Linked DNA regions of Danio rerio. The protein of the gene in region 5 purifies or fractionates together with the protein of the main gene of each other region. This does not show direct contact. Links are inferred from orthologs where the notes say so. Each region holds a gene or a part of one and is shown on either strand. Other genes may lie near its edges.

Region 1 (3,500 bases), on a different chromosome or scaffold from region 5:
TTTCAACAGAAGACAGAAACTCAAACAGGTTTGGAACAAGTTAAGAATAAGTAAAGGATGACAATTTTCATTTTTGGTGAACTATCTAATTTAATAAATGTGTCATTTACGTAAAAAAAACATGTATGGGTTTTTGCTTTTTAGATTTTGAAGATACTGTTTAGCTAACTAATATAACATGTATATGATATAAGAATTACAACATGTGACTAATCATAGTCACATTGATATTATGTCATTATAAAAAAAAACACTCCACTTTTTTTTCTAAATAGTCTCATTTTAAATCTCTACTAAAGTTAAACAGTTGAGTATAATATTTTTTTATCCATTTTGCCGATTTCAGACTCTGGCGAGAGCGCTTTTAGCTTAGCTTAGCATAAATCGGATTAGATCATTAGCATCATTTTTCTGTTTAAAACTTGGGTCTTCTATTGTTGCATCATGTACAAAGACTAAAAAAAATTAAAGTAGCTATTTTCTAGGTTAATAAGGCTAGGAAATATACTCTAATTCCAGCGTATTAATCAAAGAACTTTGCTGTCTTTAGTTCAATAATAAGGAAGATTTTAAACAGAATAATGTTTTTTTTTTTTAGTTTTCTTGCTTTGCAGTCCTATAGTATTTATCGCTCCTATGTTAGTAAATTACATCCAAAACTATTACAGTAAATAGTATAACTATGAATGCCTATAATCATTCCTTGATATTTTCAAATCATCCACAATCATGAGAATCCTGTTAATATCTCTGCCTACGCAAATAATTGTTTAGCTCACCTGGTAATAGTTGATGAGCTCCTCAAGTTCATCAGCATGAACGACAATATGTAATCCACACATCTGAGCCAGGCGAAACTCCTTCCCATCAACACAGGCAAAGCAAACCTACAAGGAGAGAACATTTCTATTATTAATATTCAACCTGAGTCAAGCATGCAGAATATTAGGAGAGCAATGCAAGGACAAATGTAAGTATCATCTCATGTATTGTCAGTAAAATCAATGTGTAATCAGACCTCTTTCCAGGTCCGTGTGCTGTTGGCTTTACGGGCCCCATCGACAGCTGCCTGATATTCCCCAAGATGCACTAGAGTGGAGGCCAGACGACCAAAGTTGGATACATTGTTATAAAGTAGTTTAGCTGCCTCGTACATCTTCTCATCATAGCATCGGTCACCAACCTACACAGAAGAAGCAAAACAGATGTAGATGATGCTTTATTTGTAATATTTAATAAGTTCAAAGTCTCCTTTAGTGTAATATTTACTTAATTTTCAAGAAATTTTTTCATTTAGTTTTTTTAAAAACTTTAAATAAATAAATATATACACGTATATACATACAGCACATACATATTTAAAAGCATTTAAAAAAATTACATAAATGAAAGCATAAATATAACCAAAAATATGCATCATTAAAAGGCTAAGCAGGCAACAATTAAAGCATCAAAAAAATAAAATAAAAAACGTTAATAAAGTCAAATAAAATATAAAAATATATTTTTTTTATTTCATTTAAATGATTATATATTAAATGAAATAAAAAATAAAATGATACTTGCTATAGTTGGCCTCATAATTTTTTAAAATACATTATCAAAAGTAAGAGACGCATACTTGTTGAATGTGTGCGTTGTTTGGCCCGTTGATAAACTCCTCCAGTTCAGCTAGACGGTTAGTCTTGGCCAGGGCAAAGATCAGCTCAGTCTCCACATATGATTCACGGGCCTTCTTACGAGCCATCTGCAAAAACTTGACCAAATCCTCCCAGTTTCCTGAAAACAAAACGTCATTAAGCTAACAACCAAACCATTTTCTGTATTTATGACCCCCCACACCTTTGGATGCTGTGGATATAGTCGTGAATCAGGGGACTGGTTCTTACCGCTTTGGGCTGCAGCTTGTCCCACTTCCATGTAGGCTGAAGGGTCATCAGCTTTGATGTAAGAGTCAATAGCCTCTTTCACCAGCCCCTTCTGCAGTTGTGCTTTAGCCAACTGACTCCACACAGCTGGCTCATTGCAGCGCTCGGCAAACTCATAAGCCCGGTCCAGATTCCCAATGTGCTCGATGAGAACCTGTGGTCAACACACACAATGATTTGAGCCCATAGAGAAACAACTCAAGCAGTACATGAACATAATTTAATAGAATATTTAGTTGTTATATTATATTAGTTTATCATATAAACTATTATAATAATGCACACAAAGTGGTTGTGTATATTAATTTCTAATAATACAATGAATTGGAGTCAATTATTCGAATTATACCACACCTGATAAAAATTGTATGAGCCTATTTTTTACATATCCATTTTAGGCTTTGAAGTAATTTGAAATAGCTGAAATTGTTTAGTTGTGGTCATATGAAAGTGAAATATCTTCCATGAAACTATACGCGCGCAGGCTGATAGGTCACCTAATCTGCTCCTGTGACATTAACTAGATGGTTACCGAGGAGACAGCAACCAATGAGCTTGCTCCTGATCAGTTTAAATGCTCCATGTCATTTTTTGCTGTTAAGCTGTGGTGCGTTTTCGGAGACCCTCCTCCGCCCCAGCTCCACCTGTGTTTAAATCTGCTATAGAGGTTAAATAAACATTATGTTTGCAGCAGCAGCATGTTGTATTCTCAGACAGCATGTCTGTATATATACTGGTAGTAGCAGGTCTCTGTACTTGCTCTGCCATAGAAATCAAAGCAGCAGCATTGTAGCAGATCTATACCACCAAAACCAAATACATCAACATTGCCATATACATATTCATTACCATACCAAATCCAGAGTGTTCATTGCAGAATTACAGTACTGTTAAGGCATGCCTAGTACTACTTTAGGGACCGATTATACCACCCTTTTCTGTTCTAAGAATGCAAGGCGCACTGCACTGCCTTTTTTTGTTGACAAGAAGTGTGGTGCATTTTTATGTCGCTTGTAAATGGTGAATCAGCTGTGTATTGAGCACAGGTGGTACTGTTGGAATTGTTAGTATTATAAAATTTAATAAAATTGTGATATTTAAGATTTGTGAAGTCTCACAGCTCTGGATAACTTAAAACAGTCACCACTAGTCTCTCCTCCATCATTCAAAGTTTCCGTAGTCCTCTTGACAACATAAACAATGACGTCACCTAAACAGAAACCCTACCTCTGCTTTCATTTAATTGGAGACTGAAAAAGACGCGACTGACGCAGTGCACTTTTCCCACTCAAAACACAACGCGCAGCAGGAAGTTAAAATGCTCACGGCTACTAGTAAACCTGTCAAAAAAGGCTCCTCTCAATGCAAAAAGCATGTTCGTTGTGGTCAAGACGTTACTTTTTATCTGAAAATCAGAATCAAGCAATTCAACAAGCCTGTAGTATGAAAAATGAGAACATGAACCGCACCTGCACTGCAGATGTGTTTACATCAAACTTCCTGAAGATGGCAAAAGCCTCCTCGAAGAGCTCATTGCTAATGGCGATGTTAGCGATGTCAGGGGCATCGTAG
Region 2 (3,500 bases), on a different chromosome or scaffold from region 5:
CTAGTATTTATGTGTATGTACATGTCTGAAAATTAAAATAAATGTTTTTTTTTGTTTTTTTTTTTACAAAACACTGGTAACACTTGTTATTAATTAGAAGCAATTTGCTCATCTTCTCTTGCATTCCACTTTCTAGTCATACTAGTGTGATCATACACACGCTTGTCTGATCACACCAGTGTGATTATATGCGATAAAGGGATAATATCGCACAGCTGCTTGCCTTACAAAGTGCTTAACTTCTTTTGGTCCCCCTAAAATCACAGGTGTCAAAGCCAGTTCCTGGAGGGCCGCAGCTCTGCACAGTTTAGTTCCAACCCTAATTAAACACACTTGATCAAACTAATTGAGTCCTTCAGGCTTGTTTGAAACTTACAGGTAAGTGTGTTGAAGCAGGGTTAGAACTAAACTGTGCAGGGTTGCGGCCCTCCAGAAATTGGCTTTGACTCCTGTGGCCTAAATGAAGAACTTAAACATCTTAAAGGCCATGATATATCAGGAAGTTTTATGTTAAGCATTACAGTTCTTACCACATCTAACGGAGTTTCACTCGCAATCTAATGAAGAGAAAAGAAACAATCAGCTGAAAATATTTACAAATTATGTGAATTACCGAATTATGTGGTTTTAAGTTCACCAGTAACTTACCAACTCCAGACACAGACGGTGTCCATACGCAGAGGCGTAATGCACTGCATTGTAGCCCTGATTGTCTCGGATCCCTGGGTTAGCATCATTCCTCAGCAAATATTCCAGGCACCTAGTTAGGGAAAGAGAAAGACTGGTAACTACTAGAAAGACATGTCTGTGAAATTAAATCTGAGATTTTCAAAATGAGAGACTCATTATGTTCTCTTGAATGGATTTTGGGCTTGGTTTTTAAGGGTATACTCACACTATGTACAGTTGCTTTTGAACCGTGCCGAAGCACGCTTGTAATGATTAATCAATCCATAGGAAACAGTCCCTTAAAAGTTACATTTCGTGATCAGTTTCAGGCTCAGGGGCGATTTGCAATTACACTAAAATTGTACCGCGCCACAGCCCAAGTGAACAGCTTTCTGGTACAACTCTTCCAGCCAGGGCAGGGCCGGCTAACTGCACCGTGCCTGAGCCAGATTTAGAACACTCACACTTCTCAAATGAATGATCCGGGAAACGTGCCTGGGCAAGGTACAATTAGCATAGTGCGCCCTAAGAGTAGGTGGTGCTTTAGGCTAGTTTAACAGTTTTACAGTGCCATCAGCTGTTGATTCAATCGACTCATAAAGGAAAATAGTGAAGAATTTAAAAAAAATCTAGAATTGACTTCTTAAACACTTTAGTAAATACATTTCTTAGAATGTCACCATTTCCACTTGTTTGCAACATGGTAACTTACTTTCCATCGGCGTCAGAAGCAGCGGCATAATGGAGGGGGGTGCAGCCCCTCTTGTCAAGCTCATTGACGTTGGCTCCTGAGCCCACCAAAGCAAACAGGCACTGGTAGTTGCAGTTTGCAGCTGCGTAGTGCAAAGGTGTCCTGCAGAACAGATTGTTAATGTTTGCCTTGTAAAAAATATCACTAGGTTGTTAGAATAATGTTTGGCTATAGTAATGTACTAGTAAACAAACCTTCCAAAGCTGTCCTTCCTGTTGAAATCTGCCCCCGTGTTGAGGAGAAGATTCAAACATTCAAGGTTCCTGTAAGGAAACAGGTTTTTGGTAAGCTGTTAAAGTTCTCTCACACACACAAAACACACACATGCACGCACGCACGCACACAGTTGAAGTCAGAATTATAAGCCCCCTTTTGACTTTTTTTCTTTTTAAATATTTCCCATATGATGTTTAACAGATTCAGGAAATTTTCAAAGTATGTCTGATAATATTTTGTCTTCTGGAGAAATCCTTATTTGTTTTATTTCAGCAAGAAGCAAGATTTCTGCAAAAAGTCTTTAATTTTTTAAAAACCATTTTAGGGTCAAAGTACTAGCCCTTTTAAGCTATTTATTTTTTCGCTAGTCTACAGAACAAACCATCGTTATACAATAACTTGCCAAATTACTCTAACCTGCCTAGTTAACCTACTTAGGCCTTTAAATGTCAATTTAAGCTGTATAGAAGTGTCTTGAAAAATATCTAGTAAAATATTATTTACTGTCATCATGGCAAAGAAAAAATAAATCAGTTATTAGAAATGAGTTAATAAAACTATTATGTTTAGAAATGTGTTGAAAAAATCTTCCCTCCGTTAAACAGAAATTGGGGAAAAAACATACAAGGAGCCAAAAAATTCTGGGGGGCTAATAATTGGCCTATAGGGGGCTATATAATTTTATTATATATATATATATATATATATATATATATATATATATATATATATATATATATATATATATATATATATATATATATATATATAAATAAAACAATCAAATTAAAAAGAACCTTACCCGCCGGCAGCAGCAGCATGTAAACAGGTCCTTCCAAAGTCATCAGGGGTGTCTATATCAAAGCCTGGAGGACAGAAACATGCTCAGTTTACTGTTTTAGAGAAATGAAGCAGACAACCATACAGCAATATTAGATGTAATCCGTACACGAAAAATGTAATGACTATTAGCAGTGATGCAGCTTACCAGAAGACAGCAGCTTACGGCAGCAGTCCGAGAAGCCGCTGAGAGCAGCCAAATGCAGTGGAAACATGCCATGAACTCCTCTCCTAAGAAAAAAAAAAGCAAGTGTTACATATAAATTTACAGGTCTACATGTCTGCATATGATCAGTTACAACTAAAAAAGCACCAATGTCCCAGCCAGGAATTGGACATTTTTATCCAAAAATGCTATTGGGAGGCAGCTGTTTTTTGTTTCGAGCTATTGATTGGTGTTTCATGTGCATATTGAGTTTGCAGAAAAAAGCCGGAAGCGCTAGCATTTACAGCGAAAAAATGACATCCGATGTGGTACAGAGTTATTGTATTAGAGATAAGTTATAATGATTACATAATTTTGTTATTTACATAATACTTTCAGCATTTTATTACAGCTTGTCACCTAGTGATAAGCAGTTACTTGGCAAGATTAACATTAAAGTGAGCTGTGTTCGTCTGACAGGTCCATTTGAGATAGCACCCTGCCAATGGATATTGGATAAGACGAAATGGCCAAGCATCCAGCCCGAAATATACAACTCTCTTATTGAAACTCCAAGTGTTTTTACAAGAGAAATGTTAAAGGTCTACAAGTCTTTTATGCCTACAATTTTGTTCTATGTGGTTATGTGCAAGAAATAATGTTCCATGACTCCAAGATTCAAAACTTTGTAGTGCTAAAAACCGAGGTTCTGCCTAGCCAAAGACAAGGAAAGAAGATGGAACTGTACAAGGCCTGGGTAATCATCAACAAGAAAACAACTGCATTCTGACATAAAACTGCACCTGTACAGCAGGGTATGTGAACCTACATTTTTACATTTCATTCTAAGCATTCTGTGTCCGCAGTTTAATTAACAAT
Region 3 (3,500 bases), on a different chromosome or scaffold from region 5:
TTCTGTGTTTTCCCTCTCCTCATCCACCTCTGCCTCTTGTGTTGTGTTTTCCTATAACAAGAGAGGCATAAACAGACCGATGTATGAGAACCTATTTGTTAAGTAATGCGCAAGTGACATACTAATTATGCAATAACAGGAAGCGGTTTCTGACCGTGTTCCCCTGAGGCCAGTTGACAGAGGTGGAGCTGATGGTGGAGAAGGCACTGTTGTAAAGATCATAGCTGTAGAGTTCAGGTTTGCTCTCCTGTTGCTCTGGGCTGCTGGACGGCTCCTCGGCCTCAGACCCAGGCTCCTCCTCTGTGACCTTAAGCTCTTGTGGCTCATCTGTGGATGACTGCTCCTCTTCATCCTGCACTTTGTCTTCTTTGGTTGTCTCTGGTGGCTGTGCTGTAGGTTGAGGCCACTGCAATGGCTCTGGATGCTCAATGGAGGGCGCCGCTCCGTTGACTAGTACCGGCTCCTCCAGGATTTTCCAAGTAAGCCGTGCAGTCACCTCTCTCTCCTCCATTTTAAGCTCAGACAAACGCTCCTGTTCCTATGAGGGAACAAAAAGCAATATATTATGTGAAACAGACATTAAAGCGAGACAAGTAGTGTGTGCTTTTAGGAATGGGAATAAAAATCAGACCAAACCCAGTTGCAAATAATTAAAAAGCAGAAATAGGAGGATGGCATGTTTTTTTTATAATAACAATAACAACAACACAATTATTATTAATATTATTAGAGAAATTTTTAGACTGACATCAAGGTCTGACTATAATAATAGTAAACATTTTCATCATGGACTGGAATTTCTTTTTTGGGTTTCTCTAATAATCGTGTTATATTATTATTATTATTATTAACAACAACAATAATAATATTAATAACAAAAATAACAACAGGTACCACTATTATTATTATTATTATTATTATTAGTAGTAGTAGTAGTAGTAGTAGTATAGAAAACTGAAAACAAAGACCATGGTGTAATAATAATGTTTTCTACTTTCTTCCTCCTATGATAATCCATAATTTTATTATTTAATAGATCTTTAATAATAATAATAATATACAAAATAAATACACATTAAACTGAGGGTAAAATAAATAAATGTATATATGTATATATATATATATATATATATATATATATAAATTAAATCAGTGTCAAGAAATGTAACACAAATAAAAAAAATGACAACAAAAATGCAAAAGAGTTACCTTTAAAAGAGTTTACCGTTAAGTTATCTTGGTATATCACTCCAGTTGTGTCTAAATTGTTTTCCAGTTAAAAACTGGAGGTTCGCCCAGGGTGCCATTTAAACTAGAACCGCTACTGTTAACAAATACCGAAAACTAAGAAACGGATCAAAAGCTGACAAACCTGAACAATCTGCGTGTGGGATTCTTTGACGGCATCCTCTAGAGGGCAGAGTTGAGCTCGAGCAGACTGAACCTTCTCTCCCAGCTGACGCGTCTCCTCCTGCAGATGGAGCAGCTCTTCTCTGGCTCTGGTCAACTCCTCCTCATAGTCACTGATTCTCTGCTCCTGCTCAGAGTGCTGCACCTGCAACGACTGGATCTGAACACGCACACAAACACAGACAAGTGGGGAAAAAGCAGAAAGCAGATCTGAGATCAGTATACTCAGTGAACTACATTGAGTGCTCATTTTTATCCATTCGAGTGAAAATTGTGAAACAAAAGTGAAATAGTACTCTTTTTTTTCCTTTGGTATACAAATTTACATATGAAAATGTAATGCAAAACTGCATGGGAGATTAGGATCAGAAAGTCTAAAACGCATTCAAAACAGCATGCAAAAGTGCGCATTGCAATGCCTACATACACTTAAATCTTTAGTTGAATCAATTGAACATTTCTAGTCACTCTCCTTCAGCTTAGCCCTTAATTTATTAGGTGTTGCCACTACGGAATGAACCACCAATTACTCTGGCATATGCTTTATGTGGCGAATGCCCTTACTTTTCTAGTCATCTCAACTTAAATTGGTCAGATTGACTAATGACATTACATTAATTACGTTTTGTATGCTAAACAAATTTAGTTGAGACCTGATTAACTTGTTAAATTAAGTAAAGTAACACAAAAACATTTGTTATTATGATTTTATGTCATATTTTTGCCAGTGAAGATGAAAACCGGTTTTAATAGTTTTAATAACTCTATAATCTTACTCTTAATTTTTTTAATAAAGGATTGATCTCCACATTATACGCTAAACTCATATCTCTGAAAGAATATAATGTGGATAAAATTAAATCTAGATGGAAAGACGAACTTAAAATTATCAGAGACTTTTTTTGGAGGAGGCACTCAGAAATGTTCATGCATCATCATCCTCTGTTAGGTTCGGGCTTATAAAGTGTTAAAGTGTTACATTTAAGCAAGGCACGGTTGGCAGGAATGTAACCTGGATTAGATGCGTCTTGTGATAGATGTTTGTTTTCTCCAGCTGATTTGACACTTATGCTTTGGTCTTGCCCTTCTTTAAAAAATTATTGGACATTGATTTTTAAATCCATCAATGAGGCCCTAGGGGAGACATTATTGCCCTGTTTCTTAATAGGTATATTTGGAACTCCAAGTGACCCCAGCTTACCAGCTACTCGGATAGGCATTATTGCTTATACATCTTAATATAGTAGTTATATAAATAACTACTTAAAATAGTAGTTATTTAAAACTATTAGTTATTTAGAAACCCTTTTTTATATTTCCGGGTATCTCAGAAGCGAAAATTGTCACAGCTGGGCAAACTTAGAGCACAATGAATGGGAAAGTACCACAATTTTTTGTATTTCTATTTGATTAAATAATAATAATAATAATAATAATAATCATAAAAATCCACAATGGTGTTTTAACAATTTTCCCAACAATAAAAAAGAAAAATTGTGTGAGATTGGTAATGGCAATCAGGAAAAAAACACTATGTTTAATTTACTGTCCTGCCCATTGACGCTGCATTACAAACACCCAGCATAAGTGGTAATCTGATCCACGGATTATATAATACAAATTATAGCTTTATAAATGTAAATGCATTTTATTAAAAATACATTTAAAAAAATTAACGTATTAAAATCTTTGAAGGAATAAAGATGCTGATGACGAGTAAAAGCATCACCGCCTTGTAAACAGGTTCCATATATAAAGTTTGCTCTAAATAATTTTGTCCAATTTGTTGTGAAACAATCAGCAAATTAGTTTGAATTAATTATTACATAAATTACAATATACAATTTAATGTAATAAACAGTTTAATATTAACACAAAATATTACAGCAACAACTAATTTACAAGAAGTCCTTTTTGGCTTTTAGGGTTGAAACACATTTTTACGACTAAAATTCCAGGACTTTTCCAGGACACTTAAGACCAGGACCTAATGTTTCATGTAAAGTCTAAGTATATGTGGTAAATGGCATTAGTTTACATTTATTTTTATATCAATGTAATACTTATTTAGATAATGCTTACACAACACT
Region 4 (3,500 bases), on a different chromosome or scaffold from region 5:
ACACAAACACAAACAAACACTTCATAAAAGCCATAAACTAAGCTTTTTTTGCACTGCAACTGATAATCAACTGTAAAAATAACAAGTCGTACCTCCTTTCAATATTTAAAACCACCAACAATCAAGAATGCATGATTATTTGGTGTTTTCAAGAGTTCACACTTAACTGATGATTAGTAATAAGCTAGTTTGGCATGCGGTCCCCGGAGAGAGCCCCGAGCTCATGAGAGCCTCGAGCCCGGAGCTCCCTCCCCGCTGCAGGGGGAGAGGGGAGTTTGAGCTCGGGTAGATCTCGAGAACCACCCCACATTTTTTGCTGTGAGGCCGCAGTGCTAGCCACTGGGCCGGCGTGCTGCTCTGTAGAAAAGAGGAGGAGAAGGGGTGGAAGGGGGGATTCTTCAAGCCGAAGATGACTAAAGGTAAGATGTTTGGTTATTTATACTGGGTTAGGAATAGTCTGATTGGTGGTTCGTACATTAGCTAGACTCGGAGCCAGCCGTGTCAAACATAAGCACGTGATCCTCTCGAAATTAGTTTATGAATAAACTTCACATAGAGGAATTCAATGGGGCAAAAACAGCCACTAACATATAAAAAAAGTTATTAGATTTGCCCATAGTGTATTGTTGAGTCTTTTAACAATACACATACAATAACATTTCCCAAGCATTTTCCCAAAACGTGTCAAAATAAGATTTGTCAATCAAAAATCATTCCATTTTCTGAGAAACAGAGAAAGATGTGGCTAAATTTATACTCAAAATCACCCCAGAGTGGATGAAAACATCCCCAACAGCACACAAGGGTTAAAATATTCTATTACCAAAAAAATATGAGTTTAGAGACAGAATTTGCAAGATATAAACTCAGAATGAAATAAAAACCCAATTCGTTATATCTTGCAATACAGACATTAAGATACAATATTGAAAAAAAATGTTGTTTTCTTAAAATCTTAAAAATCTTAATTTTAAGAAATTGTTTAGTTATTAGCAAATAAACTTCTGAATAAAGGAACATATTCACTGGTGAAGAATCAACAACAGTAATGATGTTACCTTGCAGAGCTAGAGAAGTCTCCCCATAGGTCAGAGCTGGGGTTGGACTGAACCACCGTATTAGAATTACTGCTGTCCAGTTCTAATAAACATGCTAAAATTAGGGAGAGAAAGTGAGATCAGACAAAAAAAGATCAATTAAGATATCAACATCTAGTTGCAACTTGCAAGACTAATCTGTGAAAACGCATCAATATATTCATCTACAAGCAGTGATGAGGTCTAACCTGTCTGTGCTCCTCCTGTTGGCTGGACTGTGTTGTGATTAGACAAAGGAGGCGGGGCAATCTTTCCTCCTGGAGGTGGAGGGAGGAGCCCCAGGCCTCCTGAGCTCTGGGGGCGGGGCTTGTCCCTCTTTTTACCTTGCTGCACACAGAAACATTTCTCTAATACAGTGGTCTCAAACTCAGTTCCTGGAGGGCCACAGCTCTGCATAGTTTAGCTCCAACCACCTCCAACTCACACCTGCTTAATAGTCTCTATAAGTCTTGAACAACTTGATTAGTTGGATCAGCTGTGTTTGATTATGGTTGGAGCAAAACTATACAGAGCTGCATCGCTCCAGGAATTGAGTTTGAAACCTGTTCTCTAATATGTGGGCATTAAAATAATAACATGATTGTAAAAAGGAATTTTTAGCCGTTTTGTTTTACCCCGATATTCAGTGTGATGGTCTGTCCTTCTTTAAAGCCTAAGTCCAGTTTGGGTCCTGAGTCTGCAGCCTGAGAATTTTTGCTGATTTCATTCTCCTGTTTCACCCACCTTAATATGAAAATATCAAAATATTTCAACAGAATCAAAAACTGGACATGATAAAATAGCTTTTTAACCATTTAAGGTGTTACTACAAGTACAAAATCATTTCCAATTATGAATGCGTGCATGCTTTTTGAAAGAATCTCACTTGAAATGATCCTGCAGGGCAACATTGAAGTCAAAAGCATCACCTCTGTCTGCAAATCCAACACCAATGAACGCACTCCGACCTAATACACAGGAAGAAGAGATAATGAACATCTAAACTGTAATATAAATTGATTTATTTATTTCCACTGTCGGACAAAAGTTTTGTTGCTGATCCCAGTTGTAAGATCAACAAATAATAACTTGATATGTAGTTGATCATTTGGAAAAGTGGCAGAAGGTCAATTTTTGCAATGAATCATCTGTTGAACTGTACTCCAATCATCACAAATACTGCAAAAGACCTATTGGAACACACGTGAACCAAAGATTCTCACAGAAATCAGTCAAGTTTGGTGAAGGAAAAATCATGGTTTAGGGTTACATTCAATATGGGGGCATTCGAAAGATCTGCAGAGTGGATGGCAACAGCCTGAGGTACTGTATCAAAACATTTTTGCTGCCCATTACATTACAAACCACAGGAGAGGGCAAATTCTTCAGCAGGATAGCGCTCTCTCATACTTTACCCTTTCCTGCAAGAAAGCTTTCTTCGTCGTTCCAAATGACTTTATTAATAAGTTATTTGAGTCATTGCAAAGATGTATGGATGCAGTCCTCAAAGCTCATGGGAGTCATACACAATATTAATTCTTCTTCAACTGCACCATGACTTTATATTATATACTGTACATTATTTCTGTTGCAGTAAGTGACAAGAATTTTGACTACGCAAAGTCAGACCTTACTGTCCTAAATAAATAATTGAAAATCAAGACATGTTCATATTTTATTTTGGTAAAATAAGTGTAATCTAGAGGCCTTTGCCTTTTATATAAGCCACTTCTGACACCAAATGATCAACTAGAAGTCGAGTTACAATTTGTTGTTCCTAAAAACTTGAATAGGCAACAACACTTTTGTCAGGTAGTGTACATAATGCCATATCAGAAGCAATGACTTTATTAACTGCAAAATCAAAAGTCAGAAGGCACACTGTGATTACAACACAATTAAAATGCATTGTTTACATTTATTTAACATTTTTGTTTAAAACAAACAAGCAAATGTGCATTAAATAACAGTAAATACAGCATTTATAAATAATATTTTAATCATAAATTTATTCATTATGATTACAAAATAATTCAAAGGCATAGCTTACAATTATAGCACAAATTGTTTAAAAAACATGTAATAAATAACAGTAAATATAGCAATTTTAAAAAAATATTTTACTCAAATAAAAACATATTTTAGAACATTTTTTTAAAATATTAATATATTGATTAGGATGAAAACATTCTCTGAGATAATGACAATGGGTCTCACTTTATATTAAGTGGTCTTAACTGATATGTACTTACACAGGAATTAATTAGTAACAATATGAAATATGAAATAATATGTTTGTTACAATGTACTTATTGTGTAAATACTTGTATTTACTGTGTACTTATGCTTTATTAAATACATGTATGTAATTACTTATGTAATTAACTTTTGTAATTACATTTGTAAATACACTGTTGACCATCC
Region 5 (3,500 bases):
ATTTATTAACATATTTAAAATGTTTAAATTCTTGATTCACAGGCATAATTTTGCCACTATTTAAAATATGTGGCTAAGAAATAGCTAATAACTTTTTAGTTTTATTTTGGTGGGGCCGGTGAAAATTTTGGCAGGGCAAGTAAAAATCTCAACCATATATATATATATATATATATAAATATATATATATATATATATATATAAATATATATATATATTAATATATATATATATATATATATATATATATATATATATATATATATATATATATATATAAATATATATATATATATATATATATATATATATATATATATATATATATATATATATATATATATATATATATATATATAAATAAATAAATAAATAAATAATATATATATATATATATATATATATATATATATATGTAATTAAATGATGTTGCAAAATGTTCATGTTCTGAATTCATGGTAAAAACAATAAATTCTTAAAATAGTATTGCACCATTTTAAATACTATAAAATCATCATTTAGCTGAAATTCATATAGAGGGCCCTATTATACAGCTGGCGCAATACGTGTATGGCACGATTTGTTGCTATTTTCAGACCAGAGCAACAGTAATTTTCACATTTTGCAGCACGTTGTTTAAATTGCAAATCCATCTGCTCCACTTTGTGGAGTAATGGGTGTGCTGGTCTAAAAAAAGAGGTGTGTTAAGGCGCATTGTTGGCGCTTTGCTATTTTGAGAAACTGAAATAGGCCGTGCCATTGACCAACTAAAAACTGGTCTAAAGTCCAGCGCAGATCGTGTTAGTTATGGGCCTATGCAGGTACAAGCGCTTAATACACACAGGATGTACAGCAATACACAAATATCTTTACATCTAAAAAAGAATTTAAGTATTAAAATGTTACAAATATTACTTTCTACATAAATATAAAAAACACTGCCTCCATGCCTTTGGTGCATTTGTAAAATTCTATTATTAGTAGTAGCATTATTTATTATATGCATATTTATATATGTTTTAATAAAAAATAGTTTAGATTTGTCCACTTGTGGGGTTTTGGAGACGTCTGCGTCACCATATGGGGCACAAGCACAGAACGTGTGTTTGGATATAACTTAGTTTTTTTGACCACACTGCACTATTATTGTTGTTCATTTATTCCTTTGCTGGAAATTAAAACTGATCTTAGAAATGGTTTTAAAACAAATCTTTGCGCTTAAACTAAATTAAATATGTAGGCCAATGGATGTCTTTAGTGGAGTGAGTTTTCACCGTTTCCTTATCAACGAAAGTAAAGAAGTAAAGTAAAGAGTAAAAATTAAGAGGTCGAATGGAGGAGGCTCATTCTTTATCATCGGGCTGCAGATGGTCTGTTTAATTCTTTTTTGGATAGTGAAGCGTTCAGTTTTTCAACTTACAGAGTCCGCCATGTAAATAGCAAATGTGTCATGGTGCAACGCAACTGACTCTTAAAGAGAATTTGAGATGCGACTCTGATTAATTTAATGCATGTTATGCTCAAAACACACCCATAAAACCGTATTTTTCAGTCCATAAAATAGCAAACGTGGATTTGGACTTGCCTCTAATGCTTTTGCGCCTGCGCTTTAGACTTTGCGCCTAGATAGTTAAAATAGAGCCCAGAAAATATGTTATAATTATTACTTACTGTACAGTCCGTTAAAAAGTGTAAGTAAATCAAAACTTGTCATGTAAAAAAAAGATCATCAGTCCATGTAATTAAACATCACAAGTATCACAAGAGATTTTCGGTTTAAAACAGTGCTGTATATTTTTTTCATAGCTTACGTTGTAGTGTCAAAACAGTGTATTAATATTCCACTAAGTGAGTTTTGCCAAGCAATGTTGAAAGCAACACAATAAACACGCCCCTTTTAGTCATCTAGTCTCATGACACGCCCCTTACTGATAATTTGTGGCAAGTGTGTGTTTTGGGACTCCAACACTGTAGTAAAAAGCTTCTTCTATCTCAGAAGGCAGAGGTGATGTCCATCTATCTGCGCAGTATTTTCTTTAGGTTTTGATTTTCTCATCGACATTTCACAAAAATCAAAACCTAAAAAAACAACAGCACAGCAGCTGTGGGAGAGCTTAAGGCTGGAACTGCCACATGAGCGAAGAGAAAATTCAACTGTGAAATATTCTGGTTATGCAACTTATTTCTTTAACAAATATCTCTTTGCTGTGGGAATGATGAAGCAATGATAATTGTTTTTATTTTAAGGAAAAGAGAGTCATCCTACCATCTAGGAGCTCGTAGATCAATACAAAGTTGTTCTTGATGTTCTCCTCGCTGATCTTGCCGAAATACGCGGTCATGACATCACACATCTTGTAGAGGAACTCGAAGACCATGGCAGCATTGACATTCTGCTTGGTGACGGCAGCCAGCCAGATGTTAGAGCGCTTGACATGGAAGAAGCTGGTGCGGGCGATGTTGGTGACAGGTGAGCGAACCTGCTGCCGCGCGTGGATCACGTTTACGCGAAACGCGTCCACTGCATTCCTCCTGCAGAAAGGATGTTGTAAAGGTTGATTCATATGGAAAAGTCTAAAAAAAAAAACTATATTTAAAGTTACTTTGAAATGAGTGTTAGTTACATGTTAGAATCAGTATTATTAGTTTTTAAGATATCTATAAGCTAGTGCGCACCAAAACAGTGACAAAATATACGTTTAGAAGATTTTAAAAAATGATAGTTTGTCTCTTCCATCTAAATGGATCAACGATTTTATTCAAGTCCCCTCATACTTCAGTTTATCACCAAATCTTAACCAATCAAATGCTCTCTAGCAACTGACATGGTCAGCCCCCTTCAAGATGCTTCACATTTGCATACATTTGTTCTCAACCACTCTAACTGGCAGGGTGGTGATAAAGCAAAACACTATTGGCGTTTTTTTTTTTTTTTTTAAAGAGGAGCTGCTACACTATGTCCCACCCCCTCTTCATGTTTCGGTAGAGATAATAGCCCCTTTCACACATACAGACCTTTCCGGAAAATTGCCGGCAATTTTCCGGAAAGGTTGTATGTGTGAACAGGTCCTTTTTGAAAATACCGGTAAATTCGTTCTGGCTATTTTCCGGAAAGAGAAGTTGTAACATTACCGGCAATTTGCCGGAATGCTGCGCTGTGTGAACGCAGAAGGAAGATTTCCGGAATAAGCGTGTGCACGTCTAGAACGTGCTGACGTAAGACGTCTGCTTTAGCCAATCAGAACAGTCAGACGCATTTACGTCCGCGCGGTTTATGAGAATAAAAGCCTTTGAATATTTTCCCAGACACATTTAGCTGCTAGAAGTTAGTCAGATCACGTTTATATGTTCTTCTTAATGCCAACTGTATAAATGATCATCGATGAGATGCTTATGATAAGCCGTTGTTTGTTTACTTTCAAGCTTTGCGTGTGCCCATGAAACAGCCTGTGAGCGCCTGCACACGCACATATTATGAACATCTCGAAATGCGAAAGTGA
Region 6 (4,220 bases), on a different chromosome or scaffold from region 5:
TTTAAAATGTATTGCCTAACTGAACTAATATGTGTGACGTACAAGCAGAAATGGTAGCAAATTAGTTTAGGGTTAGAAGGTTGCATTTTCATCATTAAGCTGTGGTCACACTAGAGTTTGTGTGTAAAATTCTGTTGTACGTCGCTGCGACAAGAGGCGGGATTAAACAAGATGATTAGACCTTAAAAAAAAGCGAATGATTGCTCCATGTTTTAAATTTCTGTCCAGAGAGGTCATGTTTTGATCCTTGATTGGTCTCACGCAGTCAAGTGATGCGATTTCGCAAATCAGAGTTCACCAAGCTTGAACTTTGCACCTCAGCGAACTGCGAAACTTGACGCATGACCCTGTATTTCCGGTCTGACGCATTCGCGTGTGTATGAAAGGAAGTCTATGGGGAGAAAAGTCAAGTGTGGCCGCAGCTTTACACCATGGAACTTTTGCAGCCAAAATCAATACATTTCGAAATGCATTCTGAGCCAAAGGTAGATCAGCAGTTTCTGAAATACTCCGAGCAGCCCGTCTGGCACCAACAACCATGCCACATTCAAAGTCACTTAAATCACCTTTCTTCCCCATTCTGATGCTCGGTTTGAACTGCAGCAGATCATCTTGAGCATGTCTACTTGCATAAATGCATTGAGTTGCTGCCCTGTGATTGGCTGATTAGAAATGTGCATTAATGAGCAGTTTGACAGGTGTACCTAATAAAGTGGCCGGTGAGTTTATAGTTAATTTTAATGCTTAAGTTGCAAAATTAAAAAGAAAAATGTAGCATACTAGAAGAAATGGTATCAAAATTATAGTTTAGAAGGAGTAGGATCGAATGTTCATCATTACACCGTTGGATCTGGAATGTTTTCATTGTGTATCTTTATTTCGATGTATATTTTAAAATGCATTCAGAGCCAATGGGATGGCAAAAAGACGGTGAGTTAAATGTATATTGGTTGCAATGACACTCATGATTAAGATGTTTTTAAAATATACATTTTCAATTGCTACCATTTCTGCTTGCGCACAGTAATTCAATTTGCCATTACATTTTTCATTTAATTATGCAATTTGTGTAGCATTAAAAATAACAGGTGCTTTACCAAACTGTGTTTGGAAATAGCAAGTGTAAATGACATGACTGAAATATTTATTCTGCACGTCTTGCTCATTTAAATACTCTTAATATATTGCATCTGACATTTCAAGATGAATTCTGCTTCCACAGATCAGCAGTAATACCTCTATTCTCTCCTGGACGTCCTGCAGCTGTTCTGCAGTGGTGCCCTCATCGGCTGGCTCTGTGTGCGAGCCGTTCACCCCGTCTGGGTCTTGATTCAGAGGCTGATAATAATATCCAGCGCTGTCCTGATCTCCAGCACCTCCTTCATCCTCCTCCTCCTCCATGTCCTCTCCGCTCCACTCCTCCGGCACGGCAGCGTCTAAAGGCCGGTCCTGCACCACATCCTCCTCGGAGTTCGGTAAGATTCTCTCGGGACCCATTTCTCGGGCCCTCGCCACTTCCATTCAAGGGCTGCGAACAGACACAATATTGAGACATAAGAAAATTCTTATCGTAGTTTAATGTGCTTAACATCGACCAAACTTTCAAAGCTTGTAATTATTATCAAAAAACTAGCCGCTAATTCACAAAGTGTATAACATCCAGTGATCTATAAAGAATGGCTATTAGTAATGATTCTTATATAGTAGTTTCATGAGTTTCTTCTGTTGAACATAAAAGAAGATATTTAGAAAAATGCTGAAAACCTGTGGCCATTGACTTAGTATTTGTTTTTCCTACTATGGAAGTCTGGTTACAGGTTTCTAACAGTTTTCAAAGTAACTTCTTCTGTGGTTAAGAGAAAATAGAGAGTCTTAAAGGTTGGAGAGCCACTTGAGGAAGAGTAAACAATGAGTCAAGTTTCATTTTTGAGTGAACTCTCACTTTAATGTGGCTCGAGTTAACTCAACAACCAGCAGTGGTGGAAAGAGTACTGAAAAATCATAAGTAAAAGTACCATTACTTGCCTAAAAATGTAGTGAGAGTTGAGTAAAAGTAGATGTTGTAAATATTACTCAAAGTATGAGTAAAAAGTAGCCCTTTCAAAAGTTCATATGAGTAGTGAGCATTACGCTGTGAAAAGCTGATGTGTTTACATGTAATTTGTGGTTGTGTGTAAACGTAACATTCTGTAGTCCATATTGTAGTTGATAGTCATTGGCTGCTAACGTTAATATGATTACCATATTTAGATTTAGCAAAAAAATACTTTTCTGAAAGGAAAAAGTCTGAATAAGCGAATATAAAACCAACTTGAAGCTATTTTCAATAGACTTCTATGAAGGAGAAAAGACTTAATGCGCTGTTATACACTTTATCTGTGGACTCTGCAGTAGTTAGCGTTAATTACAGTAACGTTTGACAGAAATGTTGGTTGCTCTGATGTTTTCGCGCATTAAACGTTTTAGTTTTAACAATTATATTAAATTAATATTTTAGGAAATGTACTGGTAGATGTTAAAACACTGAGGTGTTAGGAAAAAGTGTGCATGTGCAATTTAACATCAACCTGTTAAGGTATGCTTATGCTATAACATCATGCTAGCCTAAACACATTTCATATCATTTCAGGGTTTTGACACACGAATGCGTCTTTTTAGCATTACGAATACAATTAAAAGCAAACTATAAGATAATCTCTGGCTGTTTCCTCTTACCTCTTGATTCTTTCGAGCTCTTTTATTCGTTTGTTTTCAGCTGATGCATCTGTATCCGAGAAGAATCTATTTGTTTCCGGTGTTGCGCAGTGATTGCGTCACGAAACGTCAACACGCCAAGCGACGTATCTTGCGTAAATTAAAATACTCGATTTTTTTATGCTTTTTGACAGTTTGTTTAAAATTGTGACTACCTCATGTGAATGTGCAATATATAATGCATATAATTATGCATTAACATATCATGAGTTTATGATGGTTTAATTAGGCACAAACTGATGCATTAATTACCAAACAAGCATGTACTTGTAATTAAGGTAGTCATTATTCACACATGAACTCAGGTTGTAGTTAAAGTTAGTTCATGAGTAGCACATTCATTAACTCATCATTAGTTCATAATAAAGTAATGTTTAGTTTACATTATTGCATCATTCATGTACTGTCAATGTAAAGTGTTACTTTAAAAAAAATTATATTTTTATATTCATGATATCAGAAAGCTTTATTACTGTAAGGCAAGACAAGGCAAGTTTAATTATATAGCACATTTCATACACAGTGGCAATTCAAAGTGCTTTACATAAACAAGCATAAAAAAGACAAGTTTAATAAAAAACAAACAATAGAAATAATTAAAAACAGAATAAAATGTGTTAAAACAGGTTATATACTGTATGCACTTTGTTCTGCAGTAAAATAAGTCATGAATACATCTTTTAGGTGATTTTTTTTATTAAATAGTTAATATTCCGTCTATATATTGTATAGTAATAGAGGGCATATATGAATAAGTAACTAGCAATGATTATAAAAGCTTTCTCAGGAAATAGAAAAATAACTGCATAATAAATGTATTTTAATTTAATATAGCTTTATTTCTATGTGCACGTGGCGTATTATTGTTGTTGTGATTGATGTGATTCTTACAGTGAGCTAATGAACGAACAAATAAATGAATGTAATGTTGAATGAAGCAATTGTTGTTATGTAGCCGTCATTTGTTTAATTTTTTCTACATTTAAACAGTCGTTTTGTGTTATTTTCCCTTTTTCTGTGTATATTTTTGTACATTTGACAAACTAAGACATAAATAACCTAAAATAAACAATACATTTTAATTATGTTTTCTTTTTATGTTTTTTTCCTTCTCTAGTTAAAGAGATTTACGAAGAGGAGTAATTATTTTTTAATAAATTCTAACGTCATGAAGTGTTGTAATATACAAGCGGCCGCACGGTGGCGCTTTTCTTCGTGTGTCTGTGTACATATGCGTGTTTGCGCGGGAAATGACCTGCAGTTTATCTGAACTTCCCGTGAATGCTGTGCTGCTGAGAAAAGCACGCTTGTATCACAGAAGAAAGACGAGGACTCCTGCAAATTATGAACATATACTTTTGCGGAAGCATTCGGGGAGGGCGACAGGACGTGGTTATTTATCAGACAATAGTGAAGAAGTTGCAGCAGTATGGCAATGTTTTAACCGAGCATGTGAGTTATGACAG
Region 7 (4,059 bases), on a different chromosome or scaffold from region 5:
ATTAACACGCACACCTGGGGGAAACATTTGTAATAATTATTTTTGTAGTATAATTTCTATGCAAGAAAAAAAAATTCACAGAATAACTTATGTAATAATCATTTATTATTTTATCTTAGGCTTAGCTAGTCCCTTATTAATCAGGGGTCGCCATAGCGGAATGAACCGCCAGCTATTCTGGCATATGAATTTTATGCAGCAGATGCCCTTCTAGCCGCAACCCATTACTGGGATTAGTTGGTGGTTCATTCTGCTGTGGCGACCTCTGAATAATAAAGGAACTAAGCCAAAAAGAAAATTAATGAATTATAGGACTTTGTGACCTGGACGCCCTTCAAAATTGTTTTACAATTTACACATTAGATTGTTGAAATTAATAAAAAAAAACTTAACATCATTAGAAATTTAGAAGCTCCAGTAATTTTAATATTCCTGTGTTTTGCTTTTACTTCAGTTTTTAAATAAATGACAAATTAAAATAAAATAAAACTTAAATCTTGATGTAAGCCATTTTATCTTATAGTGAACCTGATTTTTTCTTACTTTAGAAAATCATCTGGAAATTTACTGAGGCCTTTAGTGGGCCCCAAACACAAAAGAAGATATTCTGAAGAAAGCTGGAAACTGGTAACCGTTGACTTCCATAGTACTTGTTTGTTTTTTTATACTATGGAACTCAATGGTTACCGAATTTCAGCATTCTTCAAAATATCTTGTTTTAAGTTCAGCAAAAAATAAAATAAAATAATAATAATAAAATAAATAAAAAGGGTTTAGAACCAAGTGAAGGCAAGAAAATAATGAGTAAATGTTTATTTTTGGCCAAACTATCCCTTTAAGATTCTACTGTATGCAGTAAACAGAAGCGCTATCGGGTTATTATGCATTTTGACAACCTTTCTAAGGATATCTTTTAAATTTGTTTTTGTTCTTTTTTTTCTCTTTTTGTTTATTGCTAATGCCACATTTATTTATTTATTTATTTATCTTGTTTTCACGTTTTAGGTATTATTATTTTTGTATTAATTACATTTTTATTAATTATTATTATTATCTTGTAAAAGATATAAAAGTGCTATTATTTGCATTATTTTTTATTAATTATTATATTTTTATGAATTATTATTATTATTTTCTTGTAAGAGATATATAAGTGCTATGGGTTAATTTGGGCCGCAGAGCGCCCTCTATGTGCAGTAAACAGGCAGACTCGGACGCCCCAATGACGTCCGCACGTTTCATTTTCCCCCTTTTACTTCACTACTAGCGAAGCTGCACAGAGGAAACGAGGAGCCACACAAGCAGCAGCCAAATAACGCCTGGAATTTACCTCGAGCGTCAAAAAAGGACAGAAGAGCCTCCGCCTGTCACCTCATGCCCCTTTAGTTGATTCCCTCGCAGAGTGCTGGAGTCATAATGGAAACTGAATGATGAGGTAAGAAGACTGTTTTTGAGCTCAGGCCGATTGTCCTTTTTATGACAGTGACTGCGGGAGGAGGAGGAGGAGGAATCTGTAGGATTTCAGGGCGCGCTTCGTCTCCATACACTAGCATATGCTCTGCAACGGTCACTCCAACGGTCATTTCCATTCAGAAACCGCATCAATAAGTACAATAGTCATTTATTCATAAAAACAGGCCTCTGTAAGCTCCCCTTCTCCACGCCGAGATTGCAGCTAACGTTAAACCTCTGCTCTGATTTACTGGTTTAGTTAGCAGTCTTGCTAACGGCTGCTGGTATGTTTTTATCAGTGACAGCAGCTCAAAAACTGCACCTCTGTGGTAAAACACATGGATATAGTGGATTATTAGGACCTCGAGAGGGCTGAGGACATGTGTGTTACATGTAGGATGTAGAAAGAGTGAGTTTGGTCAGTGAAGACCACCAGCTCATCTTCTCACATGGCTGCAGGTCTCATCTGTAGCACTTGCATATGGAGATGCTCAAGTGTGCATGATGATGACGACTCCATCTTTTCTCCAGTGCACATGTGTGTTTGTGTGTATGCATACTAGCCAGGAGAAACATGGGTTATTATCCTGTGATTATGTCTGGTGATTAAGGCTCAGATCCTGTAGTGCAGTCTGGCAGTGGATTTGGGTGCTTTGTCTTTAAGCCACAGTCCTGTATAGTATGTAAACACTGTCAGATTGGAGGGTGGTTTACGAGATCTTATGAGCTGTGCAGCTGGAGACTTTCCCTCAGGTCAGGCTGGTCTTAAACCTGTTCAGCTCCTGGTTTATACACGCGTTCCTTGATCACAGGACTTAAGCGGTAGACTTGAAATGTGACCTCACAAACTGATCTAAGGTTAGATTTTTGGTTGCTAGGATGTACCCGGGTATTCAAATATGACAGGCCCAAGTGCTGTAGAAGTGCAACCAACGTTGATCAAAATTTTAAGCACTATTGAAGAATGTTTTGTGTTTGTAATTGTGTTTAAAGTTTTTATAATATTCAAATGTAAATCTAACATTGTTAATATTAAAATGAAATATGTCTAAACATTACCCAGACTGTCATAGTCACTCTAATGTAAATGAGAAAGCATATCTGCATATTATTATCAGGCTTTTATTGAGGCATGCCAATTTATATTTGTAGATGTATGAATTCATTTACAAATATCAATTGACAGGCCTCCAAAAAGGAAACTTATTTATTAGAGTCTTCAAACAACCAATGAAATAAATAACATTTGGCAGAATAATGGAATTTTATTAGAGGGCCTGAAATTTTTTCTATGCAACCGCAAAATATATTTGGGAGCATTTGTGCGAGTGCATAAAATTGTTATCGTGCTACCAGTTTTCACAGCAAAAAAACACCAAACGCAGCGCTCGGGAATGGTTTAAAATAGTTGACATGTCAACTTGCTGCAGGAAACAAAGCCCCCATTGCTTGTCCCACCTTCAAGCTCTTCTTATTGGCCCACTGCGTTAGAACATAAGGCGATTAGATTGGTTAACATCAGCTCTTAATTACTCAGTTTCGATGACATCGAGATCCAGCCGCGAAAATGTAAAGGTCTGGATACGAGAGAATGAAAACAACACTGACAGATGTGGTTTTAGAAACCACCTAAAGTTACAAATAATGGCACATCTGATTAGTGATCATGTAATGAATGTCAATCCAGCATTTACACTTTTCGACGAGTGGATAAAAGACTTCCAGTGGTTAAAGTCCGCTATGAAAATGACTAAAGCATTCACTGTAGAGCCGGTGGGACTGAGTTTTCAGGGAACAGTCATAATTTGACTCACAATTTTTGGTGGGTGCAACTAAATTTTGTCTGATGGGCCTACATTTTTGAAGTTAGGAGTACCGGTGCTACCAAGGAAAAAGGTTAATTTCGAGCCCTGTATTGGTTGATTTGCTTTTTGAAGTTATTTAAGTAGGGGTTTAAAAGGCAGAAAGTAACTATGTGTCTGTAATGTGGAAATGTCAGTTTGAGGATTTTGGAAATATAAATTGCATTTTTATAAAATCTATTTTCACTGAATCAAATCTAGAATAAGATTAAGAATGGAATGAGATCAAAATAGGAGATTGGGAATCAGAATTGAATCAAATTGGTACATTTAAATTGATACCAAGCTCTACTTTAAATATAGAACACACAACTACTCCACTTTCCTGCAAACAGTGCAAATTACAAAAACTTATGATGATGATGATGATAATCAAAATCAAGTCTTGATTTGACCATAAACAAACATCACACATTTCAGGGTAAGACATGTCAGACGAGAGGTAGCGTTGAAGAGTAAATAAGATACATTTTGGAAAAGGATATTATACATCATATTACATGCACAGGCATAATAATTGCCAAACTCTTAATAATTTTAACAAAACGAGAGGAATTCTTATAAAAATTGCATGTTTTATTTGATACTGTGCTGAATAATCCATTTTATGTAACGAATGTTAACATCTTTGATACTCTTTTAGGTGAAACTGCATATTCAGGATGGTTCTAAATAAAAACAGGCATGTAGTTTATATAAGACCTCTTATTTATGTTTAACTTAAATTCTGCATATGATATGGAAA

The links.
Region 1: the proteins of ap2m1b (region 5) and cltcb purify together in Homo sapiens (affinity purification with mass spectrometry; 3 studies listed by BioGRID and IntAct, with this or other methods). This does not show direct contact. The link is inferred for Danio rerio from reciprocal best matches to the Homo sapiens genes AP2M1 and CLTC.
Region 2: the proteins of ap2m1b (region 5) and ankrd28b purify together in Homo sapiens (affinity purification with mass spectrometry; 3 studies listed by BioGRID and IntAct, counting the BioPlex papers as one, with this or other methods). This does not show direct contact. The link is inferred for Danio rerio from reciprocal best matches to the Homo sapiens genes AP2M1 and ANKRD28.
Region 3: the proteins of ap2m1b (region 5) and eps15 purify together in Homo sapiens (affinity purification with mass spectrometry; 4 studies listed by BioGRID and IntAct, counting the BioPlex papers as one, with this or other methods). This does not show direct contact. The link is inferred for Danio rerio from reciprocal best matches to the Homo sapiens genes AP2M1 and EPS15.
Region 4: the proteins of ap2m1b (region 5) and necap1 purify together in Homo sapiens (affinity purification with mass spectrometry; 3 studies listed by BioGRID and IntAct, counting the BioPlex papers as one, with this or other methods). This does not show direct contact. The link is inferred for Danio rerio from reciprocal best matches to the Homo sapiens genes AP2M1 and NECAP1.
Region 6: the proteins of ap2m1b (region 5) and mea1 purify together in Homo sapiens (affinity purification with mass spectrometry; 3 studies listed by BioGRID and IntAct, counting the BioPlex papers as one, with this or other methods). This does not show direct contact. The link is inferred for Danio rerio from reciprocal best matches to the Homo sapiens genes AP2M1 and MEA1.
Region 7: the proteins of ap2m1b (region 5) and itsn1 purify together in Homo sapiens (affinity purification with mass spectrometry; 3 studies listed by BioGRID and IntAct, counting the BioPlex papers as one, with this or other methods). This does not show direct contact. The link is inferred for Danio rerio from reciprocal best matches to the Homo sapiens genes AP2M1 and ITSN1.

What each region holds. Positions count from the first base shown.
Region 1 is NC_133190.1:19,748,630-19,752,129, reverse strand, and holds part of cltcb (clathrin heavy chain 1), read right to left. Parts: coding exon 3,398-3,500; intron 2,083-3,397; coding exon 1,890-2,082; intron 1,780-1,889; coding exon 1,622-1,779; intron 1,184-1,621; coding exon 1,019-1,183; intron 888-1,018; coding exon 780-887; intron 1-779. UniProt on the Homo sapiens protein: Clathrin is the major protein of the polyhedral coat of coated pits and vesicles. Two different adapter protein complexes link the clathrin lattice either to the plasma membrane or to the trans-Golgi network.
Region 2 is NC_133191.1:21,480,489-21,483,988, reverse strand, and holds part of ankrd28b (serine/threonine-protein phosphatase 6 regulatory ankyrin repeat subunit A), read right to left. Parts: intron 2,708-3,500; coding exon 2,625-2,707; intron 2,503-2,624; coding exon 2,439-2,502; intron 1,684-2,438; coding exon 1,615-1,683; intron 1,523-1,614; coding exon 1,382-1,522; intron 761-1,381; coding exon 649-760; intron 558-648; coding exon 531-557; intron 1-530. UniProt on the Homo sapiens protein: Regulatory subunit of protein phosphatase 6 (PP6) that may be involved in the recognition of phosphoprotein substrates. Involved in the PP6-mediated dephosphorylation of NFKBIE opposing its degradation in response to TNF-alpha.
Region 3 is NC_133183.1:18,308,567-18,312,066, forward strand, and holds part of eps15 (epidermal growth factor receptor substrate 15), read right to left. Parts: intron 1,571-3,500; coding exon 1,373-1,570; intron 539-1,372; coding exon 155-538; intron 52-154; coding exon 1-51. UniProt on the Homo sapiens protein: Involved in cell growth regulation. May be involved in the regulation of mitogenic signals and control of cell proliferation. Involved in the internalization of ligand-inducible receptors of the receptor tyrosine kinase (RTK) type, in particular EGFR.
Region 4 is NC_133194.1:11,499,014-11,502,513, reverse strand, and holds part of necap1 (adaptin ear-binding coat-associated protein 1), read right to left. Parts: intron 2,045-3,500; coding exon 1,963-2,044; intron 1,821-1,962; coding exon 1,712-1,820; intron 1,425-1,711; coding exon 1,286-1,424; intron 1,153-1,285; coding exon 1,059-1,152; intron 1-1,058. UniProt on the Homo sapiens protein: Involved in endocytosis.
Region 5 is NC_133193.1:48,960,589-48,964,088, reverse strand, and holds part of ap2m1b (AP-2 complex subunit mu-B), read right to left. Parts: intron 2,533-3,500; coding exon 2,267-2,532; intron 2,109-2,266; exon of another isoform or gene 2,013-2,108; intron 1-2,012.
Region 6 is NC_133188.1:4,157,818-4,162,037, reverse strand, and holds the start of mea1 (male-enhanced antigen 1), read right to left. Parts: upstream 2,801-4,220; 5' UTR 2,716-2,800; intron 1,529-2,715; 5' UTR 1,522-1,528; coding exon 1,237-1,521; intron 1-1,236. Other genes in the region: dnph1 (5-hydroxymethyl-dUMP N-hydrolase), read left to right, coding at 4,099-4,220. UniProt on the Homo sapiens protein: May play an important role in spermatogenesis and/or testis development.
Region 7 is NC_133176.1:50,394,224-50,398,282, reverse strand, and holds the start of itsn1 (intersectin-1), read left to right. Parts: upstream 1-1,259; 5' UTR 1,260-1,435; intron 1,436-4,059. UniProt on the Homo sapiens protein: Adapter protein that provides a link between the endocytic membrane traffic and the actin assembly machinery. Acts as a guanine nucleotide exchange factor (GEF) for CDC42, and thereby stimulates actin nucleation mediated by WASL and the ARP2/3 complex.